3 linked regions of the Lytechinus pictus genome follow. The protein of the gene in region 1 purifies or fractionates together with the protein of each later gene. This does not show direct contact. Links are inferred from orthologs where the notes say so. Each region holds a gene or a part of one and is shown in the gene's direction. Other genes may lie near its edges. The genes, in order: cullin-3-like, BTB/POZ domain-containing protein KCTD5-like and kelch-like protein 2.

Region 1 (10,655 bases):
TTTTTAAACAGACCTGTTCTGTTAAATTGCAGGAAAAAAATCCTGTTTTCTGAATTTACAGAATGATTCTGTTATTGCTTTCTGCAAAATCTTCTTTTTTCTGTAAAATCAGGTTTGTTTTTAACAGTGTAGAAAGGGGAGAAAACGAGAGAGGTTAATGATCGCTGAATACTCACTGATCATTCATGGCCCTACGGGGAAGCGGGTTTGGTGTTATTTTCTATAGGCAGCACCCCCTGGAATTCTGGTAGATGTGGCGAAATTGAAAAATGTACCGGAAATTACCTACATTTTGTTGTGAACCCCCCTCCCCCTTTTTTTTGCTTGTCCAATTCCTCGGGACCAAAATTACCTTGAATTTGCGTTGAAACCCCCTTTTTTTTTGCTGTTCAAATTCACATCAGCACCCCCTGTAAAAAGAGGGCCCAGGGATCATTCAATATAATTCCAAATACACAAAAAGAAAATGAAAGATTACGCAAAGCATAATAATAAGAGAGATAAAGGGTTTAAAGAATGATCTATATTGTTCTCATAATTGTAGGCCCTACATGGGATTTACCGATTGAAATTTTACATGTTCTAATGATTTTCAACACTGAAATTGAAATTCGATACAGCCCGAATTTGTTGCCATGGGATTTCTGATATTTAACCACTAAAGGAAGATTAATTTGATTACATTTCCGACACTTTAAAATGTTTTAAAAGACAACTTGGCCATTTCCTGGTTTGTTTTTCATTATTTTCATGAATAGTCTATCTACGTCGAGACAACCTGTTATTTTTATGGATTTCGACCCCCCCCCCTCTTCCCCCACAAAAAAACAACAAACATGCAGGCCTACAATAAAAACAAACATGTGTAATTGAAAATATATTAAAAACAAAACGGCAGACAAATGAGGAAAAAAAACATCTCGTCATTCTTGTCAGGGCACTTCAAAATTTCCTGCGAGAAAAGTATGCGCCACCTTTTTTTCCATTTTACTAAACAAGAGGTGGCGCTGGTCCAGATTTTAGGTTTTAAGAGTTGATTTCTTTAACTTGGACTTCAAAAAGAGTAAGAATTTGCCCCATTAGCGAAGAACACGCATCTGATGTGTGCATAACAAGTACTTCTTATAATGGCGACGATTCCGTGTGGATCAAAAATTTCAGTTTCGTGCTTCGCGCTCGTATTAATTTGATCTCTGTAATAGACAATTCGTTCTTTATTAAAAACGTTGAAAACGTGAATACATGTCCCGTTTTCATATTGGATAGCAAACGTTTCCAGCTGGCGCTTCGCGCTCGCATCATTTATTTAGCAAGATATTGCTTTGATTTGATTCATTTATTTATTCACGGTAAAAGCCCTATTCACCTGCTAGCCTGTTTTACAAAGGGGCAGTACAAACGAACAAAAACATAAATCTTACATTTTGACAATAAAAACATACATGATTCAAAGATTAATAAAACAGAGTGACCGACAACACAATGAACAACAAATTAGAATACAATAAATTTGAGCACATGTAAATTCAAGACAAAGAATTATAACTTTCGATTAAGTTTCAAAATTACTACGTAGTAGAAAAAAAAACCATAAAACAAGAAACTACAACAAAAATTACTTTGTAGTGTAGCTTCGGTCATGTCTGTCATTATGAAAAATAAGTTATTTGAAATGCATATCATTATTTAAAGTAAAGTATGTCAAATTAACTATAGGCTACATTGAATATAGACATAATATCATGCAATATAATAATCTAGGAAAATAAAAGAGGATTACAGAAAATTAATTTCAAGATTAATATATATTTATTTAGGAGATAAAAATAGCAATTAAATAATTGTTATATAAGGAAGTAAAAAAAAAGGAGAATAGATGACTGAGCAATAATTTCATAATTTTCTTCTTCTTCTCCTCCTCCTCCTCCTTCTTCTTCTTCTTCTTTTCCTCCTCCTCCTTCTCCTTCTTCTTCTTCTTCTTCTTCTTCTTCTTCTTTTTGACATTTTTATAACGAAAATCAAATTTTATGATAGATTTTGACAATTAAAATTCAGAAAATAATATCATATTTCACCCGTCTCTCTTTCCTTTTCTCTTTTTTTTTCGTCGTGAGAAATTTGTTGAGGTGGCAAGATCCCCCCCCCCCATATGTTCGCTTATCTACCCCACTCACATGACTCATGAAGCAAGGATTATTGGTAGATTAACGGCAGAGGTAAAAATGGCAGAGGTAAAAATGGCAGAGGTAATAATGGCAGAGGTAAAAATGGCGGAGGTAAAGATGATAAAGATAGGCTACGTCATAATAATTATCATCCTTGACCGGACTCTTGTCGACGAAATGGGCTATAAGAACTGATTAAATATTATGTTGTTTTTCGTCATTTTAAGTCTATACTTTGTCATTTATATGACTAAACTCAAGCATTTTCTTGCCAAAATGATTTCAATTAGTGACTGATGAAAGGATCTTAAGTTATAAGCAGAACATCGCTTCACATGCAAACCCAACGATTTTTTTTTAATGTAAACATCAATGTGTGCAGCCATTAACCCTCTGAAACAAACAAGTTCGGGTCTACTTCAAACTACTTTCATAATTTAAGCTGGATAACAAAAAATAATTGAACATTCTGTAATAAAAGTAATTTTCTTTATTTCCACATCATGATGGATCATGATGAATAGATATTGATGTCACTGGCGGATCCAAACAACAAAATTTTTAGGTCTTACTATTGATAACAAGCTTACGTTGAATGCTCATATCAACAATATTTGCAAAACTGTGGCAAGAAATATTGGAGTCATCAATAAGCTTAAAAACGTTCTTCCAGCACAGGCGCTATTCATGTTATATTGTGCAATAATTTTTACCATATCTTAATTATGGGATTCTGGCATGGGGTAATGCCTCTCAAACGAGACTCAATAAAGTCTTGCTACTTCAGAAAAAGTACTGAGAATAATATGCAATATGTCCTTTAGAGCTCATACGGATGAATTGTTTCGTCAGAAACGTATCCTTACAGTCAGTGACCTGTACCGCTTACAACTATTCCAATTCATGTATCAGCTAAATAGAAATAGTGTACCTAATGGCCTACAAAAGAAATTTATGAGAAACAATACTTTGCATTCATAATACGAGACAGTCAAATGACTATCACTTATACCTAAAAGTAGAACAGTATTTTCTAGCAAAACTATTTTTCACAGGACCAAAACTCTGGAATTCTCTGGACAGAGTAATAAAAGAGGCAGCTAATCTGAACCGATTTAAATTACTCATAAAAAAATTTCTTCTGAATTCTTATTGATTTAATCAAATATTTTGTGAACTTCATGCTTATCCATGCACGGTAGTGTTGATTATTTTAAAGTCAATATTTAATTTTGTATATAGTGTATAAACATTTGTGTTACAGTGTTTCTATCTATGTAAATTTATAGAATTTTGCTGATTATTTTTACTATATACTTATATCATATTACCCTTGTATACAATTTTGATAGGGGGTCTACATTTTACAAGCTTTGCTTTTTTAGTATGCCCCTCCACTTTTTTTCATTTCATTGGTATACGTTTCAATCCTGTATGTGTTATGCAGTTGATGCATCTTTTCATTGTAAAAATGATTTATTACGAAAGATACTTTGATGACTTGTGGAATATGAATATATCAATAAATAAAATGAATAAATAAATCCAGGGGGCACAGCCGGCCCGTGCCCCCCTTGAGAGGTACAATTAAAATCTTAGCAAATGTGCGGTTCTAACTCAAATGTGTCCCCCTTTTAAAGCGAGGACTTTTTTTGCTTGCTTATTATTTTTGTGGACGAATTACCTTAAGTTGTAGGTGGAAAACTGTTTTTGCGTGTCATTTTTCAGGAAAAATAATGTGCCCCCCTTGGAAAATCCTGGATCTGCCCCTGATTAATGTGATACGTATAATTAAATGTAAATGTTACAATTATTGTTCAGTCTTTAGAGCAATACCTCATTGCAGCTATAGTCCAAGTGGATGTCAGGTTCCCAAACTAGTGTATTATGGTCACTGTTACCTCATGAATTTTGAAATGTGTAGCCAATTAGGGATTTAAATTTATGGGTGTTTCTTATATATAGGTACCATTCTCTGGGGGCTGTTTGAAGAGGTAGTTTGCCCTAATGAACAATAAAAATAGCAGAAAATTGGTGAAGGCTTGAGGAAAAATCCATCAAAGATCAAGAAAGTTATTAGAAGTTTAAGTTTTAGTCTGTGACGTCATATATGGGAAACTGTCCCATGACATTTTACGCACTACAAAATGGTTCGTAATTGTTTTTAAAAAATATTTCAGGAGCGTAAGTGAAATGATTTGTCTCTTGATATATAGGCCTACTGAAGAAACAATAAAAACCATTTTGATTTTTTTTCTAGAAAATTACATTTCATTGATTTTTTTATACACCAAATATGGGAAAACTGCTCGCAAATGACGTTATCATAAAAGTATAAAAGTATAGCTTTTTAATCTTTGATGGATTTCCTAAAACCCTCACCAATATCATTTTACTATTTTCTGCTATTCTACAATGAATTTTATGTGAGGTTGGACTTCCCCTTTAATGAATTAAATACAATTGCGATCTAGAGTGTGCCTCAAATTTGAATATTAGTACAGCGATTTGACATGAGAAGGCCGTCCATGAGAGTCCAGAAAAAATAAGATATTCCAACCAAAAGATTATCAATTTGGTGCAGACGATCTATCTAGATGATTTTAAAGATGTGACCCTTTCTATTATTTTTCATTATTTATTCATTTTTTGCATGGGGGTTTAAGACGATTTTACCTAGGCCTATTCCAATATGACCTCTGCCATTTTTACCTCTGCCATTTTACCTCTGCCATTATTACCTCTGCCATTTTTATCTCTGCCACCACCTCTGCCATTTTTACCTCTGCCATTTTTACCTCAGTGTCATTTTTACACCGAGCCCGTTATAATGGGTCCTTCTCATGCAGGTGAAAGGGGCACAGAACACGTTCGTGTGGGGCACTTTCTTGCTTGGGTAAAAAGGGGGACTAATACGAAATAGGACACAAAGAAGAAGGAAGGGGCACTTGTTCACACATAAAACGGGTCCTTCAAGGGGCACACAACACATTCGTGAGGGGCACCTTTCTTGGGTAAAATGGGGGGGGGGCTGCTAGCCAACAATATCAGGGAGCACTTGCTCACACCGTTAAAACGGGTCCTTCTCAGGTAAAAAGGGCACAGAATACGTTCGTGTGGGTGCATTTTGGTAAAAATTGGCAAAGATTCGAGAAATTGCAAATTTCTGACACAATCACAAATCGGGTCCTTCTCAGGTAAAAGGGGCACATAAATCGTTTGAGAGGGGGCATTTTGCGAAATAAAATTGGCACTTATACGAGAAAGGGCAAACACCTAAAACGGGTCCTCCTCAGGTGAAAGGGGAACATGCAAACGTTCGTGAGGGGGCATTCTTCTTGCGTAAAAAAGGGCACTTTTTCAGGGCTTCAAAAAGTACGTGTGGGGGCACTGTGCCCCCCCCCGGATAGCCGCCCCTGCTTGTCAGCTAAAATGTGTAGAGTTTGTTTTCCTAATTCTTTCTTTTCCTTAATTATTGTTAGAGAATGTTGGTGTGCAAATTTAATATTATATTTGTATATGGAAAAAGTGAATAGCCGCTGCATCAGAGTGACACTTGCAAATTAGATTTATTGAAAATCAATATCCATGCAGAGTTTAACATGATTGCTTGGAAAAAAAAAGTTTCTTGGCGTGACTATGTAGACACATAATTTGTGTTAGCCATTTTTTATTCAATATTTTTTTTTCAAATCTGAATATAACTCAGTTTCGTCTTTGAGTGTTTGAAAGGATTATCACTTTAAAAATGTTTTTACTCATAATCCACGATTTACGTAAAAAAATTATATATATAATCACATTCACGGTTTATCATATATATAAAGCACAAAAATCTAAATAATCAACAAAAAATACAACCAATCACTATTTTTGTATCATTATTAGAATGTAAGGCACAGCTGAATCTTAGAGTTCTCTATAGAGTTATAAATATCTATAAGCATAACAATTTACAGTTTTCAGTGCTTTTTAATTATAACAATGACATATATTGAAGGTAGGCTACAGAGAATTACCTACCATTTGAAGTATTATATTTCACCTAAATACGTTTAAGATGAATTCGCCTTTGAATTTTTGTCGTCATATCGTTAACTGATATATATATATATTTCAGATTATTTGTTGGTATTCATTGGAACTGCCATTTGCCTGAATAATTTATCTCTGTTTTTCCCCCCTTTCCATTTCTTCTTTCTTTTGTTTTGTCATAATTCAGCAAAACATATTTTGCAGAGTAGGCCCAATGGATGGTCATGACCTATGACGTCACAACCGTGGAATACTAGAGGCGAATTGCACTTCACTGTAAAATAATATCCATTCGCTTATCGTTAGTTCTCTGAATCAAATCTGAATCTGGAGATAGAATATAACACAATCAAAAGAAAGCAATCACAGTTGGTTGAAAATATGAAAAGTTACTTGCTATTATCTTTCGAAAAGAAATGTGGGGCAAAGAATTTTGGTGGAAGAAAGTAGTTCTCCAACTGTGTACAAATCGGGTCAAGTGTTGAGGCTTCGTTCATGTGTTGAATGCTATAAATATTGTCAGAAAAGTGCGTATTTTTGCACTTTTGGCGTACTGTGAGTACCTTTTTGGAGGATATCCTGAGCCTTCGACTACACTTTATCAGTGACCCATCATGAAATTTCAAATAGATGTCCGGAGATTCGATGAAACTAGTTCAGAATAAACTACCCAGCTGAGTCACTGTTCCAAAATAGAATTCGCGAATCCACATAAAACGAAGGTGCAGCAATAGCGGAGTCCATGAAGAACAAGTCTTCGAGCTCGCCTACATCCGTAAACACAGTGAACGCAATGCAGTGAATCACCCGTGTTATGGTTGCACCAGATTCGACAAACTCTCAAAATATAACAATTATTTCATATACTCGGATGCCTCAATTGAAGTGGCATGATCCAATATGACTCCACTGAATAATTTTTCATAGGCTCTGGAAATTCTACAGAAAAGAGCCCTCAAACTGTTGCAAGTAGACTGACTTGACACTTGACTTGTCTTGTGTTTTTTTTCCTGTCATTTTTGAATTATCCAGAACAACGTCGCCAACATGAGTAACTCGATGAAAGCACCACCGCCGAAGAAAGACTCTCGAATGAGGATTCGTGCCTTTCCAGTATGTTCTGCAATTCAGATATCTAAGTTACACAGATTGTTTATCGTAGAATGTTTATTATTTTTATTAAGTCAAGAACTAAGGTGTTATTGGGATTGCAAAAACATAATTTGTGTTTGAGGGGGGGGGGGGGGCCGGGACTCAACAACAGACAACAATTACTTTAGCCTTTTAGGACTTAACATGGAATTTTTATGGAAAAAAAATGGCCTAGGATCTCTCGAGTCAGTCTAGACAACAATTGACCAACTAGACAAAGGCTAAACAGACAAAGCGTTCATGCCCAGCTGATATTTTGCGTCAATTTCTATATTATTGTTTGTCCATTTTCTAGAGTCTTAGAGTCTTACTTAGTGGAGGCAGTGTAGCTCAGTCGGTTAGAGCGCCTGTTCCGGATACTTTATATTTTTGAAGCCTTCTTTTTTGTCTTAAGATTACACTAAAAATATGAATTCAATAGTTGTAATCATCTTATATTTTGTTCTCTATAATATTTCCTCACATTTTGTACTAAAAATTGATGACACTTCGCTTGTAATTTTTTCCAAATGACTTTCTAAAATTGATCGTCCGGACACACAACCTGTCCGGACACACAACAACTGGGTATATACCTCGTCAGGTACATGTACCCAGTTGTGTGCCCGGGCGCACTCATTCTATGAACAAGGTTACGATATGGCCCGGGCGGGTCGTTTATCTGGACAAGTCGGCAATATCAAGACAGGAGTAATATTAGACGAAACAATTATTTCTGCTACTCTTTTTTTTTTGCTAGAAAACCTAGATATAAAAAAAAGAAAAGATAATAGTTTTTGCGAGACGTGAAGATTTAACTTGCGTTTGGACATTAAATTGTTTGAAAGTAATATGAGACAATTGATGCATAAACTTTCAGTCATTTCTGCTACTCCTTTTTTTTTTAAAGGAAACCCAGATATGAAAAAATAGACAGTTTTTTTGATAGATTTAACTGGTGTTTGGACATCGTTCCCCCCCCCCTCACTTCTCCTACATGTACATGTGTTCATGTTATTTGATACATGTAGATAATACATGTATATGTACATGTAAGTACAGTTTCACCAAATGTTCAAAAAAAAAAAAAAGAAATATGTGTTTTTACCAAGTTAACACCCCAACCTGTCCCAGGACCTACAGTATTGCATAACAGTTTGTATGACATTGTTGCCATTCAATGAAATCTTTGCATTTCATTGGTTCAGAGCAAATTTGTCATTAAAAAGACAGGCATGATATTTTTTCAGATTTTCTAATTTTTGATTTTTAGTTTTTTTACGTGAAATCCTTTGCCCAAGAACATTCTCATGCAGTTTTTTACTGCTTTTTCAAGTTAAATGATAAAGCTATCATGCAGACTTACCTTGAAAAATCACTATCAATTTCACTATGCAAGAGCTTGTAACCCCGACAGGGGCTTCTCGGACTCCGGCGGGGACTTAGCCACCCTTGGCTATTTTTCAGATTCTTTTTCAAGGGAAATATCATGCCTGAAATGAGTAATGCGATGATGCTTCATGATTTACTCCTAGGATGGCAAAGCTAAGTACAACAAAGCTTTAGAGAGTTCTGTTTTCATCTAATGAGAACTACAGTTTTCAACGAATTACATTTTCTTGGTGATTACAAGTACACACACATACATAGACATGTACATACATGTAGTTAAAAACAGGATCCAGGTTATGGATATTGAGTTGTTCTAGCCCAACCCCCCCCCCTTTATTTTACTTCCAAATGTAGTACGGGTAAAATTAAGAATACTAATAATTTCCACTAACTTCACTACATGTAATGCACTTTGTAGTGTTTTCTACCGTAGTTTTACTTGTGTGTTACATGCACATCTTTAGTTTGAACTAATTTTTTTAAATATTTATGTTGACCAACTAAGGTTTACATATTTGGAAAATATCCTTGGTACATGTATAAATTGTACATGTAGGCCTACATGTACATGTTGGATTTGGGTAATTGAAATGGAATGTTGATGTCATTGCATGTGAGCCTACATACAGTACATACAGTACATGTACAAGTACCCTGTTGGCTGATACGGATACGTTAAATGGGTGTATAGTAGACGTAGTGTAAAGTACAAATGAATAATGCATTTACTTCTTCCCTTTGTTTTCAGACAAACATGGATGAAAAGTATGTGTCCAGCATCTGGAACCTGCTCAAGAATGCCATCCAGGAAATACAGAGAAAAAACAACAGTGGCCTGAGCTTTGAGGAGCTCTACCGAAATGCGTACACAATGGTGCTCCATAAGCACGGCGAAAGGTTATACACGGGACTGAGGGACGTCGTCACAGAACATTTGGTAGAAAAGGTGAGTATGTACCTCGAGAAGGGACAGGTGTGGGACGGACAAGGCAGTATCACTAACTCCAGATGACGTCTGTTCAAAAGACTGACATGTCACTTATTACAGGCTCATGTGCTATTGGCCTTGTAGAACCCTCTTTGTTTTGATAACTTTATTGAAGGCCTATGTGGCTGCTGTCAATCATGTGGGCCTCTGGAAGGGCAAATTCTTTTAGAAGCTTACATGTTCAGCAGTTACAACATGAAACAGTATCACACAGTGACACACACTAATATGAGTCATTAAATGCACATTAGGTGAAAAGCTTTCCAATATGTACTTTACATTTCCTTAAATCGAAATATATTTTTAATAGTTGTTTTATTTATTTATTTATTTATTCATTCATTCATATTTTCTTTATAAAAAGCATGATATTCCCATTCAAGCCAGAGGCCTGCTTTACAAGGGAGCCCTGCCATCATATTGAAGTTTGGATTATACATGTAGTTAGTTATTTTTTGTCAATATTTTCTTTTTTAAATTCGTAATCTTAATTCAAAATCTAATATCGTTTTAGTATTTTCTACTTGCCTAAGCAGAGGAAGTGATGAAATTTGGATGGAAAAAAAGGTTGTGTGAACTCCTTGTCATCTGGGGCCCTTTCCAGAAATCAAAATCTCTCAAATGCTCACTTCCAATTAGGTTGAAAAGCAATATGTCTTGGATATGACTTGCGTTGGTTTCAAATCTTCAACTCTTTTCAAGTCACCCCTGGTATACCGGGAAGGCCTACCATTTCACAAAGCTCGTCAGGACTGACAAATTATCATTCTCTTACAGTTTATAAGTAACTGCCAGAGACGAGTGCTTCTCCGCCAATCAAAACATAAGTTTTTCGCTGAAATTGCCAGACCTGACAATGTAGTTTCTGCTGACAATTTTCATGAAAAGCCATCATCGTACTCCTGTCAATTCTGAAGTATAGCCTTGTAAACACCTCTACATTT
Region 2 (10,075 bases), on another chromosome or scaffold:
GTGAATATTTAATGTGTGCTATTGATTATGTAAATATTACTGATTCAATTATATTAATTATAATAAATTGTATTTTATGACAGGGCCGTTGTGGAAAGCAGTTTTGAAACTGACAATGCCACCCTGTATAAATAAAACTACAAATGAATAAAGTCACTGTTCTTTTCAGCAGGCAGCAGTATGTCTTTTACATTACTATTCTTACAAGAAGAAGCCCTTGTTCTCTTCATTGTTGTTTCTTAATAGTTTCTTTGTACATTATTACATTATCTTCTTTTCTTATCGGTATTCTATTTCTACAGGTACATGTAGTATTATCTTTGTAACCTTCTTTAAAATTTGTTTTAGATTGATGGTTGATGTATGCTTAATTTGTGTATGCAGCTGTACAGTATGTGTCATGAATGAAGCACTCATCCAATATACAAGGTTATGATATTGTTCTCTGTTACGTAGTACTTAGGACTCCCTATGTGGTGAAATTGGCAATGTTTGGCTTTATAGTATATATGTATTTTTACTTGTTCATGGGGATAAATGCTTGATTTCTTTTTACACTGTCAGTTTCCATTTAAAGCTTTTCTCCATATACAATACATGTAACGTGGCTCTAAAGTAAATTGAATTCTTTTGATATTTTTTTTTCTCAGTAAAAAAGAGATATTGTTGGGGACAATTCAGACCAACTTCACTTCCCATCAGTAGAGGGCCCACACAAAAATGTGCTCAAAATAAAACATTTATAGTGCTCTGGTGAATAAGAAAAATTGATACCAAAGTTAATTATAGCATTAAAAATAAGAAAAATCTTAACTGTATGAAACTGTATAAAACTTTTTGATTTTTTTTTTTTTGGGGGGGAGTTAGTTACAAAAGTGATATTTCAAAGATTTTTTGATTTTTTTTAAATATGTATTGTATGTTGCATACATGTAGATCCGTAGATTCTCCACAGGCAATGTGGTTGCACTGAGCAAAGTCCTGCATTGCATTGTATTGCATTGTCAAGTCCATCCCAGGAGAATGTTCATTTGAATAAATAGAGAAAAATCAAACTAGCATAATGCTGAAAATTTGATCATAATCGGATGTAAAATAAGAAAGTTATGGCATTTTAAAGTTTCGCTTATTTTTCATAAAACAGTTATATGCACAACGTAGTGACATGAAAATGAGAGAGTCGATGATGTCACTCACTCACTATTTCTTTTGTTTTTATTGTCTGAATTATACCATTTTTCATTTTTTACAGATTTTACAAGGGCCAACTTGATTGACCCATGTAGTATTAAAATAATGTTAATTCCACATGTTTAGGGAGGAATTAATCTCTGTTTCACTTGACAATGAGGTGAAAATAAGAATATTCAGTATTTCATGTAATAAAATACAAAAGAAATACTGAGTGGATGATGTCATCAGTCTCTTCATTTGCATATCGACAAGGATGTGTATATAACTGTTTTGTGAAATTAAGCGAAACTTTAAAATATCATAACTTTCTTATTTTACATCCGATTTTGATGAAATTTTCAGTGCTATGCTCATTGGATTTTTCTCTTTTTGTTCAAATCGACTTTTTGTTAGGGTGGACTTGTCCTTTTAATATTAAGGTACTGTTACATATAGACAGATCAATTAATTGTAGTATTGGCCTGCAGTGATTTTTGAGGGGGGGGGGGGGGTTGGGGTATTATAATTTTTGTCTCACCTGCATAGCAGAGTGAGACTATAGGCGCCGCTTTTCCGACGGCGACGGCGGCGGCGACGGCGACGGCGGCGGCGGCGTCAACACCAAATCTTAACCTGAGGTTAAGTTTTTGAAATGACAGCATAACTTAGAAAGTATATGGACCTAGTTCATGAAACTTGGCCATAAGGTTAATCAAGTATTACTAAACATCCTGCCTGAGTTTCATGTCACATGACCAAGGTCAAAGGTCATTTAGGGTCAATGAACTTAGACCATGTTGGGGGAATCAACATCAAAATCTTAACCTAAGGTTAAGTTTTTGAAATGTCATCATAACTTAGAAAATATATGGACCTAGTTCATGAAACTTATACATAAGGTTAATCAAGTATCACTGAACATCCTGCATGAGTTTCACGTCACATGACCAAGGTCAAAGGTCATTTAGGGTCAATGAACTTTGGCCGAATTGGGGGTATCTGTTGAATTACCATCATAACTTTAAAAGTTTATGGATCTGATTCATGAAACTTGGACATAATAGTAATCAAGTATTACTGAACATCCTGTGCAAGTTTCAGGTCACATGATCAAGGTCAAAGGTCATTTAGGGTCAATGAACTTTGGCCAAATTGGGGTATTTGTTGAATTACAGCCATAAATTTGAAAGTGTGTTGGTCTAGTTCATAAAACTTGGACATAATAGTAATCAAGTATCACTGAACATCCTGTGCGAGTTTCAGGTCACATGATCAAGGTCAAAGGTCATGTAAGGTCAAAGAACTTTGGCCACGTTGGGGGTATTTGTTGAATTGCCATCATATCTCTATAAGTGTATTGGTCTAGTTCATAAAACGTGGAAATAAGAGTAACCAAGTATCACTGAACATCTTGTGCGAGTTATAGTAGTTTTAAAAATCAGCACTGCTGCTATATTGAATCGCGTGATGCAGGTGAGACGGCCAGAGGCATTCCACTTGTTATTGAATTGTAATTATTATTGTTATTGATGTTACTAGTTTGTGAATTGAATTTGTTGTAAAGTTGATTGTGAATTGATATAGGTATTGCAATTGAAATTGTTATCATCACTCATGTGCAAATTAGAATTTAATGGTAATTCAGGCTGCAAATAATCTTGAAGAGCTTGCTAACCATAGACAGATGCAACAAAACGGGAAAGTCTGACTTGAGAGAGATTATAGACTAGAATAAAGGAATAGTAGGAAGGACAGTAATGCTATAAATAAATAATAATCAAAAAGGCAATTTTTGGTGCTAAATTCGTTCACAATTTCATTTCAGTAAAACTGAGCGAGACAAAACAAAATAAAAAATAGGATTCAAACATGAATCGTTTGAATTGAGAGAAGCCGTCAGTTCAAAGTATGATGGGGAATCAATATCATTGTATTCAATTGATCTATTCAGGGATCATTTCCAGGTTAAGAAATTTTGTGATTTTTTTGAGCAACTTGTCCAACATCGCCTTGCGTTTGGGTGACTTTAGAGGTACATGTAAAATGAGACACATTTCTGAACTCGGAAAGAAATACATGCACAACGAAAATCCTTCCCTAATTAATTTATCCGTGACCAATTCCAAAGCGGAAAATGGGTCTCAGGAGATCATGAAGACTATGCCATGTCAATTGCCGTTTTCGCTACGTTCTCAGTACGCTGTACATAGCAGTCCTAATGCACCATGGCTATTTTTCTTTGATGCAGCAAGAACTGCATGGAGTTCTAGCATTGGTGTAATGGGGGTATGCTAGCCTACTAGGGCTGTGGAACAGAACATTACATTATTTCCACCTGCTGGAAGAGGAAATATATATTTCATAATTCATTCTTCAAACCAACTTAAATAATATGATTTGATTCATACATGCAGGCATAGTGGCATACATCTTCATTTCCCAACAATCATTGACAATATACCACTGAACTACACAAGAATGGATATTGCTCTGCCTAATGGTGTACTTTATCTGGTGGAAGGGTATGTGGTCACACTCGGCTGCTGAAAATCAATAAGTTACTGATGTTATGTAATCAGTGGTGCTTGTTAGGGCTTTTTATTATTGATCTTTAGTTATTTTTGTCTTTTATTGCATTTTCACACTAGTGGAAGACTATCTCTGTGGTTTCTGTACAGTCTATGGTTTTGATTGAAGAGGAACTTGCAGAAGGGGGGAATCAAAGCTGCAAATATTGTTCATCACTTTAATAGAGTTGTGTTCTCATGCTTTTTTTCCATAATATGTGTATTCATATTTTTGCTAATAATCAGAAAGCATATACGGTCACATTTCATAAGTTGGGTATGCAAAGAGGGTGGCGGATGAACAATTTTCCACACGGTGCCATGGATAAATTGTTGTACATCACATCATCTTGACCAAATATATTGAGTAAGATCTCATTTTGAAGCTAGAACTTTAGGCTAAATATATTACTATAAATTAGATCAATACAATATCAGGAATAAAAACTATAGCACATTGATTTTGAAGTAATGGTTGGCAGGACCGGTGGATGCGGTGAATGATAGAATGTTAATCAAACTTAATTAACAACTTAATATAATATGTAATATGACATCAGCCTCATTTCTTGGCAGTTTAAAAGCAGGGAACAACTAAATGTTATCAAATTTGACATTTTTAAAATATGCAGGAATGAAATACATGTGTGTGTCAGCTCTGATCTGCAACCTAATCAATTAAGAAATTTGGTTAATTATCTAATTTTTAAACTTGATTTTTAGCACAAAAGTTGTGTATCATTTCAACAAACATTTCTACCCATGATGTAGTCATTTTGCCAAGCATAAAACAGTGACAGGCATTTTTGGGGCAAAAATGTGAAATTAGATATTGTTAATTAATTATTGTAATTAATATGCATACAATGACAGATGATTATTTGATTTTTGTTACAGATTTATTTATCGATGTTAAAAGATTAAACTGCAAAACTACTAGGGTGATCCAATGTGGCATTAACTTTTGACACCATTTTATGTGCAGCAGGTCCAATTTGAGAAATCGCATTTCAAAATTCAAATTTACATTGACATCTATGATGTAATAATTAGCTGTTAATTAGTCATTTTAAGGGGGAAAAAAGGTATTTGAGACTTAAAACTTTTTCATTATTTACAGAATGATATATCAAAAAATATTTTTTGGGGCAATTTTTACCCTGTTTGCTAAATTGGACCACCTTATGACATGCGGCCACATTCAACATGTTTGAATATTTTAAAGGGGGAGTGAACTGTGTGTGGCCTCTCATTGACTATGTGTTATTAATGCATAGTCTTATACATTTTCAGATATCTACTACTGTACATGTATAAACACTATAGAGAATAAATTGACCTATGATTGTATTTTAATAGAGAAACTAAAATGTTTTGAAAGGAAAAGTAATTGTTTTGCTACTTGGTAACATAAATATTACGGTATAAATGTATTGAGTAGTTAATGAGCAGGTTATCATTCAAATGGGTCTATATTACAAGACTACATTATGGGTCAGGAAACTGGCCAGGTATGAATAGTTGAGGACTCCAGATGGTGCTATTGGTTCCTGTCTGCTTCAAATGCAATTGTTGATGCCTTAAATTTTTTATTTTTTCATCTGGGTCTAGTTTCATAGAGACTTGTTATAATACATGTAAGAAACGCACAATTTCTATTACAAATGTAATACATGTATATCACCCAATCAGATTGGAGGATTTCAGAAGCTTTTAACTGTAATTGCAAATTTGTCATTATCTGCCCTGACCAGTTTGACCCAGGGCTGACTAAGACCTGTTCCTACACTGTGCATGAATATGCCTCAGTTATTGACGTATTCTAAAGTGTACATGCATATAAACGGCAATTACATTGGTAAAATGGTTACCAATGTTCATCAGTAATATTCCATAATATTGCAGTAAGATACTATCTAAAGCAGCCATTCTCAATTACTTTTTTTGAAGCGCCACATTTCATGTTGAGAATCTGTAATGCTCCACTGTCCATTGCGCAAACCAGCAATGTATCAGCGGAGGATGTTCAGAGGCCCCTGGTGGGGGTCGAGGGGGCAGAGCCCCCAGACGTTTTGGAATATGAGGCCTTTTAAATTGCCCAGAGGGGCTCTAATTAATATCAACAGAAGAAATACAAATGCCAACAAACTACACAATATCAATAAAAAATATAAAAAAAGACCAGTGACTTTTTCCCAACATACCAATGATACCACTAGTTCAGACTGTTCTGCCCCAGATATATTGGCTGAAGCAAGTGGCGTAATGAGTAAAAAAAAAATGAGGGGGCTAGATATTGCAGCTGAAGCAAAAATATTGAACTTTGCAATACAAATATCTATATTTTGACATAATATTAAGAAAATAATACAATATTCCACTCTTTCCCTTTCCTTTTCTTTCCCTTTCTCCTTTTTTTTCTTGGCTATGAAACACTTGGGGGCCCCCAATCGCCACACCCCCATCTGTACGCCAGTGGTTGAAGCTACGTTCCCCGATTTTGCAAGGGCTGAAAATTAGGCGTTGCACTGCACTAACGCCCCAACTGCCCCTCTCTCTCTATAACTCACGTGCAGTATCATTCATTCAGTTCATGTTAAAGGAGAATGAAACTCTTGGAGCAAGTTAGCTTTTGTGAAAGCAGAAAAATCAAAGAATAAGATCAACAAAACTTTGAGTAAAATAGGACTAGCAATAAAAGAGTTATGAGCATTTGAATGTCGAGATCACTAATGCTATGGAGATCCTCCCATTGGCAATGCGACCAAGATCTGTGATGTCACACACGTACAACTCTCCCATTCGGACACTGAAAATATACCCCAAAACATCTCTTTTTGCTCATTCTAATCATATGACAAACGATTCATCAATGATATAATGTTGTGAAACCTCTGTACTTGTCATCTCATAAAGAAAACACCTAACCTTGTGATAGACTCGAATAAAAGTGAGAATATAAGTGAAATAAGTACTAAAGTAATGAGGGAGTTGTACGTGTGTGATATCACAGATCTTGGTCGCATTGCCGATGGGAGGATCTACATGGCACTAGTGATCTCAATATTCAAATGCTCATAACTTTCTTATTATTCTTTCAATCTTCCTCAAACTTTCAACAATATGTTTCTTTGATTTTTCTCTTTGATATGGATTCAGCTAGTTTCAAGGGTTTCATTCTCCTTTAAGCAAGAGTGTATGCAGGCAATCACGGCAGACAATGCATCTGAGCATACATTTATTTCACTTTTATAACATCGGATTTTAATCGGCTTCGAAAACAAAGTTTCTGCTTGTTATGTCCCAAATTCATAATCTTTTATGATCAGGATGTTCTTTGAATATCATATCATTTGATGTTTAACTCTTAACCAAAACGAATACTCTGGAAATGCAAAATTTCTCGCCGTTGAAATAGAAATCCTACAAACGGGGTTTTCAAATCACTTGTGCGGCACAAAAACTTTGTACAGCGTAGAATAAATAAAAAGGAGAACACCATCGATCCTCCATAATAGGAGTTATCAAGTGCTAAATTGGACAAAATTTGAGGAAATCAATTAGCAATTAAGTGTCAAGTAAAGAGTTTTTGTTTTCTCTTTGTATTAAAATGATCACCAAAACCTTATTGCCATGTTACTGGTAGATACATTTTTTCTCCCTTATTTTTCCTTTATTTTTTATACCGGCTCCCAAGCGCCACTCCGCAAGGCTCGGTGCGCCACAAGTGGCGCGCGCGCCACCTATTGAGAACCCCTGATCTAAAGGGTAATAGTCTACAGTACATGTAGTACTACAGTATGAACAATAGGCCTATAATATTTCCTTGACACGCAGATCAAATTGTGGCATGTCTTGAAATGAGGGAGATTTGACATTGATGTGATATCTTTTGAATGCTATCCTGCAGTAAACCTTATTCCATGCAATGTGTGCTTCATTCGTTTAGAAATTAAGTTGATAATGTGAATACACCCATTTTGAAAGAGTTTTGCCATGAATTGGAAACAACTGATGATGAATGCATGTTTAGGATGGCCCATAAATATTACATTTGACCTTTCGTACTGTATTGTAAAAGTTATACATGTACACAATGTCTATGAGTATGAGATGATAGCTTCATGCATATTATTGGGGCCTACTGAAAGAACCATCTCGCAAATTATAACAAATAATTCAAATTTACGACTTATTCCTTTCTTGGGTTATTGTTGCAGAATTGTATACATGTAGGGATATGTTTATGCAGGACTTCAATATATTCTTTAAAGTCCAAGCCCAACCCAATGTCAAGTCAAACAAGCATGCTATTGCTGCTATTTTGATTTAATTTGGGATGTACATGTACATGTAAAACAGGGGAATGCATTTTGAAATACATGTATCATTTAAGTTTCATTTTGATGCCTGTGTACATGTACATGCACAACAAAAAATGACTATGTCTATGGTTAGCAAGATTCAAGATTATTTGACTTTGCTTTTTCTTTTTTTTTCCCTCTTTATGTAGGATGAAACTGGTGCCTATTTGATAGACCGAGATCCCATGTACTTCGGACCTGTATTAAATTATCTTAGACATGGAAAATTAGTTATCAATAAAGACTTAGCAGAAGAAGGTAAATGAACATTTAAGTATTGGTGTGTTTTAACAGAATTATTATTTACATGTATCTAGTTGGCCATTTGGTAAATTGCCAGTTCGTCCACTGCCAACTCGTCCACTCATTACATGTACATGGGGTCAGATGCATAAAAAGTAGCAATTGCTGGCAAACAATCGCTTCAACCACAAGCAATAGCTAGCCAAGCAAAAGATCATGCTTCAGCAATTGCTTTATTTCATATGCATAACCCTTTGCTAGTGCTTGAACACTTTTCTTGCCTTCAGAAAGCAATTGCTAGTGGTTTGAACAATAATGACGTCACGCTCGGGCGAACACGACTCACAGAAAAGGCAGGACTCCAACGCGAAGGTGTGGCAGTGCAAATTACTGCTTCTTTCATATAACATCTTTTCCTCAGACGTGGTGTCAAACTAACTTGTTTCTTTTTGATATTTATATTTGTCATTTTATTTGCACTTAAATGTATTAGGAAGAAAATGTACGTGTAGGCTACGGTACACCTTGGGGTTCTCTCACAGGTGCATAAACATGATTAAAAAACGTGAACGCCTGATCAAGCAAACGCTCCAGCTGCTCTGACAGAGCTTGAAGAAACCAAGCAAGTGCTTAAATGCACAAGCAAAATGTTCGCTTTCTGCATACCGTTACGCTTTTTAGCAATACCCGGTAGCTTTATTGTCAAGGAAATGCTAGCAGTCAGTTAGCGATTGCTTGAACTTTAATACTAGTATAAGCATTTGCTCGCTTATTTTTATGCATATGGAATCAAGCAGAAGCCTAGAAAAAGCAATTGCTACTTTTTGTGCATCTGACCCATGGTCTACCTTCATTTAAACTAATGCCTTTCCGTCCAACATTTCGTCTACCAACTATTTTGTCAAATCATCACTTGGTCTAATTCACCAGTTGGTTTTTTGACCATATTGTCTAAGAACCAGTTGGTCTGATACTTGTTTTATTTTCATTCATTTTGCCCAATTAACACTCAGTCTAATTAGACCAAATGGTATATGGACTAAATGGCTATTTGACCAACTGGTTATTAGATGAAATGGTGACTGGATGAAATGGCAATTAGACCATGTGGATATTGGACAAACTGATGGTAGACCAAATGATAGTAGACAAGTTAGCAATTGGACAAATTGGCATTGGACCAAATGAAAATAAACCAGCCACTTGAATGGGCACTATATAGCCGCTGGTTTACATGTACTGCCCCAGCAATTGTTTCCAGTGGTGGGTGCATTCAGGAATTCTACCATGTAACCATTCCAATCACCTGGGTTGCTGTGCACAGCACAATTTAGATGAATTTCTTGTTCATACCATGGCTGGGACATTTAAACCCTCAACATTTTGAGTCAGACCTTGACATCCCCTTCAAGTACCAAGAAATCATGTTATATATATATATTATTTAAAGAATATTGAAATCATTAATACATACATGTACAGTGTATGCATCATAAATTCTCACTACCTGCTGTTTGGCCATCAGCCTAGAATACCAATTACCTATCAGACCATCATAATATTAATAGGAACCCATTTCTGGTTTACCAAATACCAATAGCAATGCCCATTATACTTTCTATTTCATTTTTAAAAGTGACACACTTCACTAATTACCATTTGTACAGTTAACTTGCCTCATTGGTACATGTAGGTAATAATATACGAGGCAGACTTACAAATGAACCC
Region 3 (10,467 bases), on another chromosome or scaffold:
GTTTTTATTTACCATTCAGCAATGCAACAATGCCATGAAGATGAATGTATTTCTGTCAACATCAAACTTCAGTGCTTTCTTCTTCAGAGATTGGTGTGGAACCATCCGCATACTGGTATTGCGTTTGCTTACTTTGTGGACACCAATTATTTTGGAGTCACATGGTAAAGTGAAGGCATTTTCACTCTTTGTGTAGACTCTACACAGGAGAAGTTTGTCATCATTTTCGCTGGTCTCATTGGTTTCCTCTTCTACCTCACAACACGAAGATTCACTAAGAATATAGCAATTATCAGGTTTCTTTGTAGATACAACAGAAGCCTTAGATGTTGAAACACTTTGAAATTGTTCGCCCTCACACAATCGCTTGATTATTTGTACAACAGGTCGCTTGCCAGATCTCACTAGTTTTTTCATGTACTGAAGGTAATTCTCGAAAGGGAATGCAGCGCACAAGTTCAAGTTTCCAAATAGACGCGCTTCATCTGCCAAGTGGACCATACTGTGGACATTATATACAAGGAACTCCTGACCATACAATGCACATCCCTGGTCATTAAAGTACACCAAAAGTTCTTCCGCAAATGCATGATATTCTGCAGTAAGCCTACTGTTCACAAGAATGCATGTAGCCACACTCAGCGCCATGAAAAGGTTGTATTGGACAGATGACAATACTCCTTTAAGGCAAACTTTCCCAGTGTACAGGAGAAACTGTCGTAGCTCTGTTGCCTTCCATCGATCTATCTCGGAGAGATGACGAGGCTTTCTTTGAAAGTCATTGGTTATGGAGCCCCTTAGCCCCAGAAGTTTCTCACTAACAATTTCCACATGAACAGCGCCCAATTTATAATTGAGCAATCTTCCCTTCCCGCGCATCCAAATAAGGATCAACTTCCTCATAACACCCAGGCACGATTGGTGCATGAAGTCTACTGGGAAACACTGAATCATATCAATTGGCAACTGGCAGAAAGGTGTATCACCATTATGGTGTTCTGGAGATTGCTTGGCCCGAAATGAAGCATCTGTTCTTTTCTCCAAATTACTTGTCTCAGGGTATGTCATTCTGCCCTTCCATTCTCCTCTCTGTTCACACTTATCACATCCGTGGTATCCTGCAAACAACTTAGTACCCTTCACCATGGCTCTAGCAGGAGCATCACAGACAATGCATTTCAGGTGAACTTGGATTGCTTTCCCATCCACAAGGAGACCGTCTGCCATAACATTGCCCAAGTCTCTAATTGTGTCCTGAAGAAAATCAAGGTTTGAAGGTTTCGAAAGGCCATACGTTAATGCCACTGGAAAGACGTGCACAGGTGAAGCATTTGTAATCGAACACAATATCGGCCATAAACTCTTTGATGTGTCCTTGTGAAGTGGAATTCCGTCAATATTCAGAGCAAGATGTATAGAGTCAGCATCGTCGATGTTTGTGTTGCAGGTCTTGTATGCTTTGGACAATTGTTCATGAACTCCCAGGTATACATATTCCATTCCAGATGCAATGTCAGTCTCAACAGTCTTAGGAGTTTGGAGCAATGTACGAGCTGTAGCTGGTAAATCTGGGTGTCCATGCCTCTTTAAGATTTTTAGAAGACCATCAACTGCATTATGTTTAACTTGGTAGTCATTTGCCCATTTAGCCAACTCATTTTGTACACCGATGTGCGGCTCCTCACCCGAGTGATCTGAATGTTCGTTCTCTGACTCTGAATCAAAAGATAAAGGCGGATCATCACTATAAGAGCCAGAAGACAATGGGGTATCAGCACTACCATCTGCCAAACTATCACTCGAATCATCACCAGCAAGAATGGCATTGTCAAGTTCAATTTCCCTTTCTGGCTCAAAGAGAAGTCCTTCTGTTCCATCTTCCACTGCGAGAGCTTCTACATCACTCTCACTGCTGCTCGCTACAACATTGCGTCTATTTTTTCTCGATGCACGATGAGCCCTCATCCATCTTCTGTTGTATTCATTTTTTCCTGACCATGATGCACACATTTTTGCGATCGATCTAAAAATGAATATAACAAAGGAACATGAACTAAGCAATGAGGCAAATAAAGCATTTCCTCTATTCCACCATTGCCTTTAAAGGCTTTAAATCAGTAATTCCAGAAATATACATGTAGTTTCTTTCATTACGGCAGGTCCAACCGGTTCGAACAATTTTCCCTAAACATTCATTTACATTGTTCTTTATAAAGACTTTAAAATATTATCGTACACAATGTTTGTTTTGTTGTGAATCTCACAATTTTTCCTTTGCCTTTTTAGAGGCACCATTGTAAAGTTACAGACGTGTGCGTCACGTAACGTTGGCGAAGAACAATAGTAAACAAGACGGCAGCGTAAACATCGGGCAAGTTTCTTCCATCTTTGCATAATATTTTTCTCATTTTTTTAATGAATTCTTGTTTAAAGATAAAATCTATGGCGTAGAAATGTCGGAAATGAAGTTGTATCCCATGAACATGATTTAGGGCTAGATCTTTTTAAGTAGAAATCTCGGGGGCGAAATTTTCAGGTTTTTTGGCGGTAGACGCAGATAAATGGGAAGGAATACCTGGCTTCAATGAGAGTAAGCATACGTCAGTAAATAATTTTTACTCTCTAACTTAGAAGTACATGTAGGATGGGGGTCGGGTGTCCGGACACTTTATATTTTTGAAGCCTTCTTTTTTGTCTTTGGATTACACTAAAAATATGAATTCAATAGTTGTAATCATCTTTTATTTTGTTCTATTTAATAATTCCTAACATTTTGTACTAAACATTGATGAAACTTTGCTTGTAAATTTTTCCAAATGACTTTCTATAATTGATCGTCCGGACACACAACCTGTCCGGACACACAACAACTGGGTATAGAACTAACGTTAGAGTAGAAGCCTCCAGGCTAAGTCAAATGGAAAGTCATAACTTAACTTAAAGAGAAAATTCCAGTAGTTGCAGTAAACACTGATTTCATGAGAAAGTCTGTAAAACCAGGCTTAATTGTCAGTATATCATCGAGGATCTAGATCTGGTACAGTATAAACTGAACTTTGTGAAATCTTGAAATCTACGCTGAAAATGTTCAGACTGAACTTCCCCAACACTGATAAGCGCACGTGGGACAGTGTATAATTATTGCTTTGAGCGTCGGGCCCGACGCTCTACCCGAATCCTGTGCTTATTTGCTGATTTCTCAGTAATTAGACAATTTCTTCCAGTTCCAGAATCCTTTGGCACATGCGTTTTATTTATACAAACAGACACTTTGGTGGTCATTTCATTGGATTCTGTACGAACTCATTTTGATATCGTTACCAAAACTAGCATTTACCTTTAAAGTTAAGTGCAGCGCTGACGGTAGAACTAGAAGGAGTGGAGAGGTGAACTAGTAGTGACCATAATGCTGAATTATAGGACTTGTTTCTTGCTAAATGAAATGTCTTTACAAGTGATAGACGTTAGACTTATTAGTTCTAACGTTCCGCCTTAATTTTTTTCTCTCGTTTTTGTTTGACATGCACGTTAATCGCTATGAGTATTGCATGCAGCGATTCCTGCGCAGCATGCATGCATCATTGCATGTAACCCAGGGAGCTCCCGCCCGCTGCGCGGGCGGGAGCTCCCTGGGCCGGGTTAGCATACATGCAGACATTCATGACCACAACACAATGCACAATCCTACACTCTGATTTCAATCATGTCTTCCCACATTTTGTACGTCTCAAATTCACTCAAAAACATTTAAACACCTAACACATATCAAAATTGTAAATAATTACCTTGAAGTCTCACAGATTTGGTTGAAAGTTCAGGATTTCTTGAAAGATTGTGAAAGGCACACAATGGTTGACACACGGCATTCAACGGGAAATTCGAAAGTATATACCGCATGGGATGAGATGACGTCATCGATCAGTACAAGGCTTGCGGCCTCGTTCGATAATGTGTAAATTAGAATTCATGGTACAAACAAGTAAAAATAAAAGAATTTAAAATTACCAAAAAATGAAATTAAGCAAGGAAAATTAATAAAAAAACATGTTATTTTTAGGTTTATTTCATCGTGTATAATTATTGGCATGTTTTAAAATATAGCTATTTGATTTATTGAACTGGACGTGTAAAAACGTTTGGTAAACGTATATACAAAAAGTTTATTTTTGTAACGTCTAAAAACGTTTTGTAAACGTCCAATATCGAACGTTCTGCAAAAGGCCTACACTAAACGTTCTGTAAACGTTCTATACAAAACGTTCAATTTTGTAACGTCCACAGAACGTTTTTAAAACGTCCTAAAAAAACTCAACTTTGACGTAATATGAAGTCCAACCTTAAAACGTTTTAAAAACGTTTTCAAAACGTTCATTTAGGACAAAGACGTACAGGACATAAAAAAAACGTTTTCAAAACGTTCTGAAAACGTTCTTTGTTTGCTGGGACAGTACATAGGATCAAATATAAACTTCTCATATTAACATTCAAATGGATTCATGGTATATTGCCCCTGCTTATCTTCAAGAACTTGTCCAAATTCATAACCCAAGCATAATCTCCGTTCTGGCTCTCAAAATCTTCTCTCCGAAATTACTGTCAAGACCAAATCATATGGGGATCGGGCTTTCCTAAAAGCTGCACCAGCACAATGGAATTCTCTACCACCGACATTACGAAATATTACCCAGCTTGAGAAATTCAAAGTACAATTAAAAACCCACCTCTTTCAGAATGTTTAACTGAGTCACATGTAGGTCCAATCCATGTTTAATATTCTTTGATGTTATGTATAAGTATTTGATGTCTAAATTTTAAATTTACAATTCTAACCTCATTTCTTGCTTTCCTCGCGCATAGAGACCTGTAGGTGTTATGTGTATTTAAGAACTGTACTATTATTATTATTATAGTGAATATACACATGTAGTCTTACTATTGCAGACTCTGCATTATGCAAATTGCGAAAACCAACGGTCTGTGCCTGCAGACTAGTGGTCATAAGGAGTGTTGAAAGAAAATATATGCAATCAATTGCAAATTTCAGTTGCAAATTTACAAGTGGTGGATCATTTTTAACTTTGGCAAATAAAATCATAGTTGTTGGTACAGGATCAGATCAGCGGTCAATTGCAATTTTGCAAAAAAATTAATTGCAAAACTTCTGATTGATTTTGGGGCCTGAAAATTAATTGACTTGCAATCGATCGCAAGTTTCTTGCAACACTCCATTAACAACTTTTGAGTTGACCACTTCATTTTCTGGTGCAGAAATATGAACTACATGTACCTGTGGTTTCAATGTTGTATCTACATTGTAGGAAAAACCTTGCCTTGTACTAATGTTAATATAACACACCAGTCTGATATTGGATAATGGCAGGGCAAGCACTACATGTACGTTCTAGATTTTTTCTTTTACCAGTGACAAAACTTATATTTTTTCATATCACTTTGAGACAATTTCTTTGATGTAGTTTCAATCTCATGATGGGGGGGGGGGGGTTCACAAAGATTTAAGTATGACTTACAATCGCACTTAAACACTCACTGATGCATATATGTTATATAACGCGCAATCTTATTGATTAGTACGCAGTAGTGTGCGTCCTCTTGGCAAGATCTGACCAATGCGGTACCGGTACTGCCTTTTTAATGCACGCAACTGGGCATTTATTAAGTGCGATTCATAATCTTTGTGAAACACCCCCCAGAAATATTAACAAACATCCTTACGTTTTTCACACTGCAGACATTGCTGCCTGCTGCCAGTTTACTGCAGCTGAATGACGTACGAGACGCATGCTGTGACTTCCTACAGAAGCAACTCCATCCTACGAACTGTCTTGGTATCAGAGCGTTTGCCGACGTGCACTCGTGTAGCGAACTTTATCACTATGCCCAGAATTATACCATGCAGCATTTCAGGTATGCTCCTGTTCTTATCCATGCAAGAAAAACCGCTGTTTTGACATTAATCATAATAGAATAGATATATTCCTATAATTATAATGGAATAGATATATTCCTATCTGATGTTTGAGCACACAAATCCAAATTTGACTCGTTTGAAGAATATTGTGTTTTGGACTCTGAAGAAAACATATTTTGGATTTTAGAAAACAGAAAACTGGTGACTTTAATCAATCACAACAGTTAATAGTATGCCACAATTGAAAACTACATGTATACTATATGGATTTCATGCCATGCCATTAAACAAGATCTAAAGAGGTTTTGCTTCAGTTTATATTTCTGTATCATCCTGCATATTTTGTGTGTGATCGTTGTAACTTGGATAGCTGTATTTCAAGTACATAGAGCACTTTTAAATGTGTTTGAACTATACAAATGTCAGATTATTATTATTCCATTAAATTATCCTTTTTGTATGTCTGACTTCCATTTTTGTCCATTCTCATTTCACTTCCTGAACTGCCCAAACCATGACAATTTGGGAGCATTACGGAAAATCACGGAAAACGTATTTTCCCTCAAAATAAACAGAATAGCAACAGAAGTTACTCCAAAATCACAACAAAATGAGAATATTAAATGGCCACAAAACCCCAGAAAACACGATCTCACTTGGCTACTATCATGACAATTCACACATCGTGACTGCACTCGACATCAGCACACTCGATTGTACCCCGTACCCGGCTGGCCGGCCGGGTTGGGCTTCACATGCACACATATCGTTCAACTACACGGTCGTGTGTTGCTGCCCTCTACGTTTGAAGATGTAACAGCACGATATCATGGTCTTAAAATCCAAGATGGCGGATTGGCAAAAGCCGTTGACTGATGATAACGATGTCCAAAAAACCCAAAAATTATCGATGAAATGTCATTTCACCGTGAAATAATGCTAATAAAGTGAAAGGTGAGGATATATGCATGCTAAATGGGTTTGTAAAAATATTTTATGCACCCGCATAGATCCGATTAGAACGGATTCTATTGTGTTGTTGGTATACAGTAGCAGATACAAATTTTGACCAGTGCGAGTGTACATGTTGTGATTTTGCTATTCAATGTGTAAACGGAATTGTCACTTTTCCGTGTGTACAAAGTCTATGGGGAAACGGAATTTCCGTTTTCTGACATGCTGAAACGGAATTTAAGATTTTCTGAAACGGAAAAGGCAATTTTTTGAAACGGAAAATCACTGTCCCTAGACATACTGTACTTCTTGGAATTGCCCTATTAGTATTATTAGATGCAGCTCTGTTTGATATAAAGCATACCATGCTACATATGTTTGAACCATGAAGTTTAATACCCCTTTCATACTGCCCTCTTCATTTTTAACCGGCGGACTTCTCTGCCTTGCATTCCTCACTTCCCCGGCAAAGAAAAAAATTTACCCTTTCGCACTGACATTTCTTCTCTGGCGAAAGTCAACGGGCGATTGGCCTCATTCGGCATTTCTGCGGCACCACGATTATTTATTTCCTTTAATTGTGGAGATCTTACTTGTTAGTAAAGTTGTCAAGATGATGGCTAGATCTAGTAAACAGTGTCAGTATTCCCTTGATTTAGTCAGTGCTCGGCACGTGCAGAACAAACGAAAGAAAATTGTAAACATTTCTTATTACCTATTACAAAAAGGTATTAAAAAAAAATTAATTACAACATATTTTGGAAGTATTACGAGAAAAACAAACAATATCACTATGTTTTTATATTTTAGCGCATTTTATACATGTAAAAAGTGCTTTTTGATAAATATTGTTAGTAAAAAAAAATTATGTTCGAGGGTATCTACTTGGCCATAGCATTCAGCTGAGCTTGCAACTATCGCGCGTGGAATCTTGGTACAGGGGACTTCGGGAGAGAAAAAAAATTGACCTCTGACGTCATTAAAGAGGAGAAGTTCTCCGGTTTGCTTTCATACTGGCCTTTTCACCGGCGAACTTCGCCGGTGAAACAGTTTCGCCAGCGAAGTTCTCCACCTCTAGAGGTGGAGAAGTTCGCCGGCGAACTTCACCGGGGAAGTTCTCCTGTGTACCTTTCATACTGGACACTTTCCCCTTTGCTGGCAAACTTTGCCGGTGAAAAGTGCAATATGAAAGGGGTATAAAATGGAATTTCCTTGACATTTCATGTCTGTTGAAGATATTGTTATATTTCTGTTTTGATGTACAGTGCGGTTGTCCATAGCGATGAGTTCTTTGCACTCCCTGCTGCTCAAGTCTGTGAATTGATAAGCAGCGATCACCTGACAGTTCATTCCGAAGAAGAGGTAAGATATCACGTGATATCAGATCAAACCTGTTGCAGAAAGAGTTTTTTTTTTTTAAATCAAACATACATTCCAACTGTCCATTCCTCATTGGTTGAAAGTGGTCACCTGACAAATCATTCAGAAGGAGAAGCAAGAGGTCACATGATATCAGACCAAACCTGTTGCAGAAAGAGTTCAGTTTAAACTCAATTGAAGAAAAATAATCAAACTTTTAAAAGTCACAAATGCCTGCTTCTGATTGGTTGAATATCGTGTGATCACCTGACAGTTTATTCAGAAGAAGAGGTAAGAGGTCACATGATTTTAGACCCAGGCCTGGTACACGTGACAAAACATTATGACTGATTATACCATAGAGTTGATTTGTATGCTTAATTCAATATAATGAACTTTGCTATCAAGTGCTATTAAAATCAGCCTTATGATCAAATGCTAAGATTCGTATTATGGGTCCCAAATCTGCAACCATTCTGAATTGATTAAAGAATCTAAATTTAATAAAAAATGATAATAATACATGAGATTTGTATAGCGCACTTTCCATCTTGATTAGATGCTCAAGGCGCTTCAGAGCAGAACAACAAAAAGTATTTACATGTAATACATGTCTGAACAATAAGTCAATGTCTATCAAAAACACTCTTATACAGGTATGTTTGGACCATTCCTAGGTCTTTTCCTGATATGTATTGTCTATTTTATTGATAATGTGCGTAATACACTCCTCCTTGTATGTTATATCCTTTTCTGTCTGTTCAACCATTTCACATTGAAGATTTATTGCATTTTCTTTTGTTGTTAGGTATTTGAAGCCGTGGTATCGTGGGTAAAGCAGGATCCTAGTAACCGTAGCGACTACATGCCTCAGCTGGTTGAACATGTCAGATTACCCCTCCTCTCAAGGGACTACCTCATCCAACGGGTCGAGGAGGAACAGCTCATAAAAGGTATCTCGTCTGATTCTAATTTTCCACAGGGAGTGTTGAATGTGCGTACATTGCAGGCGGGCAAGCCTCACCGAGTCTGATGACCAGAGTAACAATATTCATATGAAGTATTGACAATATTCCTACAAAGCTTTTAGATAGATAAACTGCGGCTAGTATAGTGAGTGATTGTATTACCGACCGGCCTTGTATTACTGAATGTGCGCATCATATGTGTCAGAAAATTATTTCATGCGCTCAAAACTTTGCAACATCCTTCCAAAGGGAACTTGAATAGAAAGATGATGAAAAATGGTCTAAAACACATTTTCAAAGTCTTTATATTCTCAAAATGAAAAAAATATGGTCAAAATAGCTCATCAGTGATTTTGTTATTTTCTCAACTTTTCCCATAGAAAACACACATTCCATTACACGATACCTTTTTCAAGTGACCAAAATATTTCACATGCGACGAGGGGTCTGATTGGAAGCTGATATCGTAAAAAAGAAAATTGATTTCGGCAAAATGTTCACATATTTATATTTTGTACATGTAGGTATTTGTGTATTTATGGTGAAAGTTTGGTGAATTTTACGAGAATAATGTGTTTGATATAATTGAATTCATGAAAAGGGTTCGGTAATACGATCCACTACCATACTCCACAGGGAGTGGAGAATGTGCATGCAAGACAGGTGGGCTAGTCTAATCTGATGACCTGAGTATCAATATTCATATGAAGCTCTTTATAGCTACGTCTGATTGTAATATTCCACAGGAAGTGTTGAATGTGTGGACATTCTAGGCAGGCAAGCCTAATTGAATCTGATGGCCAGAGAAACATTCATCTGAAGCACTTTGGTAGATTATCGAGTTCTTATTCATGAGCAGACTATTTATATATAGATAATATTGCTCTAATTGAATTCATGTAAAATTTCATTCACTGATAATTGAATTCCAAAGTGAAACAAAGTACAACGGAAGGAAATGATAAGAAAACCCAAGTAAAGTAAAGTTTGTTTATGAATGTTCCAAGAAATAAATGTTTATGATTCATATAAATATGAAAGTATTACTTTATGATGCAGAACAAAAGTAGAGCACAGAGTTTAGTAAATTTTATAATATACCTTCTGAACGGGTCTTCAGAAAGCAAGATTTTTTTTTTCCTGAACACAGAGCTCATTGACTGATCTTTCATTGTGGTCAATGCAATTAATTTTCAAAATTTATTCTGCCATCAATTCGGTGGATTCACAATATGGTGCACATCTAATGGTTGCAGC

Evidence for each region.
Region 2: the proteins of cullin-3-like (region 1) and BTB/POZ domain-containing protein KCTD5-like purify together in Drosophila melanogaster (affinity purification with western blotting; 4 studies listed by BioGRID, with this or other methods). This does not show direct contact. The link is inferred for Lytechinus pictus from reciprocal best matches to the Drosophila melanogaster genes Cul3 and inc.
Region 3: the proteins of cullin-3-like (region 1) and kelch-like protein 2 purify together in Drosophila melanogaster (affinity purification with western blotting; 3 studies listed by BioGRID). This does not show direct contact. The link is inferred for Lytechinus pictus from reciprocal best matches to the Drosophila melanogaster genes Cul3 and kel.

Annotation. Positions count from the first base shown.
Region 1 is NC_087260.1:19,591,111-19,601,765, reverse strand, and holds the start of cullin-3-like, read left to right. Parts: upstream 1-6,455; 5' UTR 6,456-7,247; coding exon 7,248-7,313; intron 7,314-9,471; coding exon 9,472-9,669; intron 9,670-10,655.
Region 2 is NC_087254.1:23,711,156-23,721,230, forward strand, and holds the start of BTB/POZ domain-containing protein KCTD5-like, read left to right. Parts: upstream 1-5,230; coding exon 5,231-5,251; intron 5,252-8,253; coding exon 8,254-8,362; intron 8,363-10,075.
Region 3 is NC_087262.1:4,871,090-4,881,556, forward strand, and holds the start of kelch-like protein 2, read left to right. Parts: upstream 1-5,373; coding exon 5,374-5,394; intron 5,395-5,749; coding exon 5,750-5,925; intron 5,926-8,148; coding exon 8,149-8,245; intron 8,246-9,050; coding exon 9,051-9,195; intron 9,196-10,467. UniProt on the Drosophila melanogaster protein: Component of ring canals that regulates the flow of cytoplasm between cells. May be involved in the regulation of cytoplasm flow from nurse cells to the oocyte during oogenesis. Binds actin.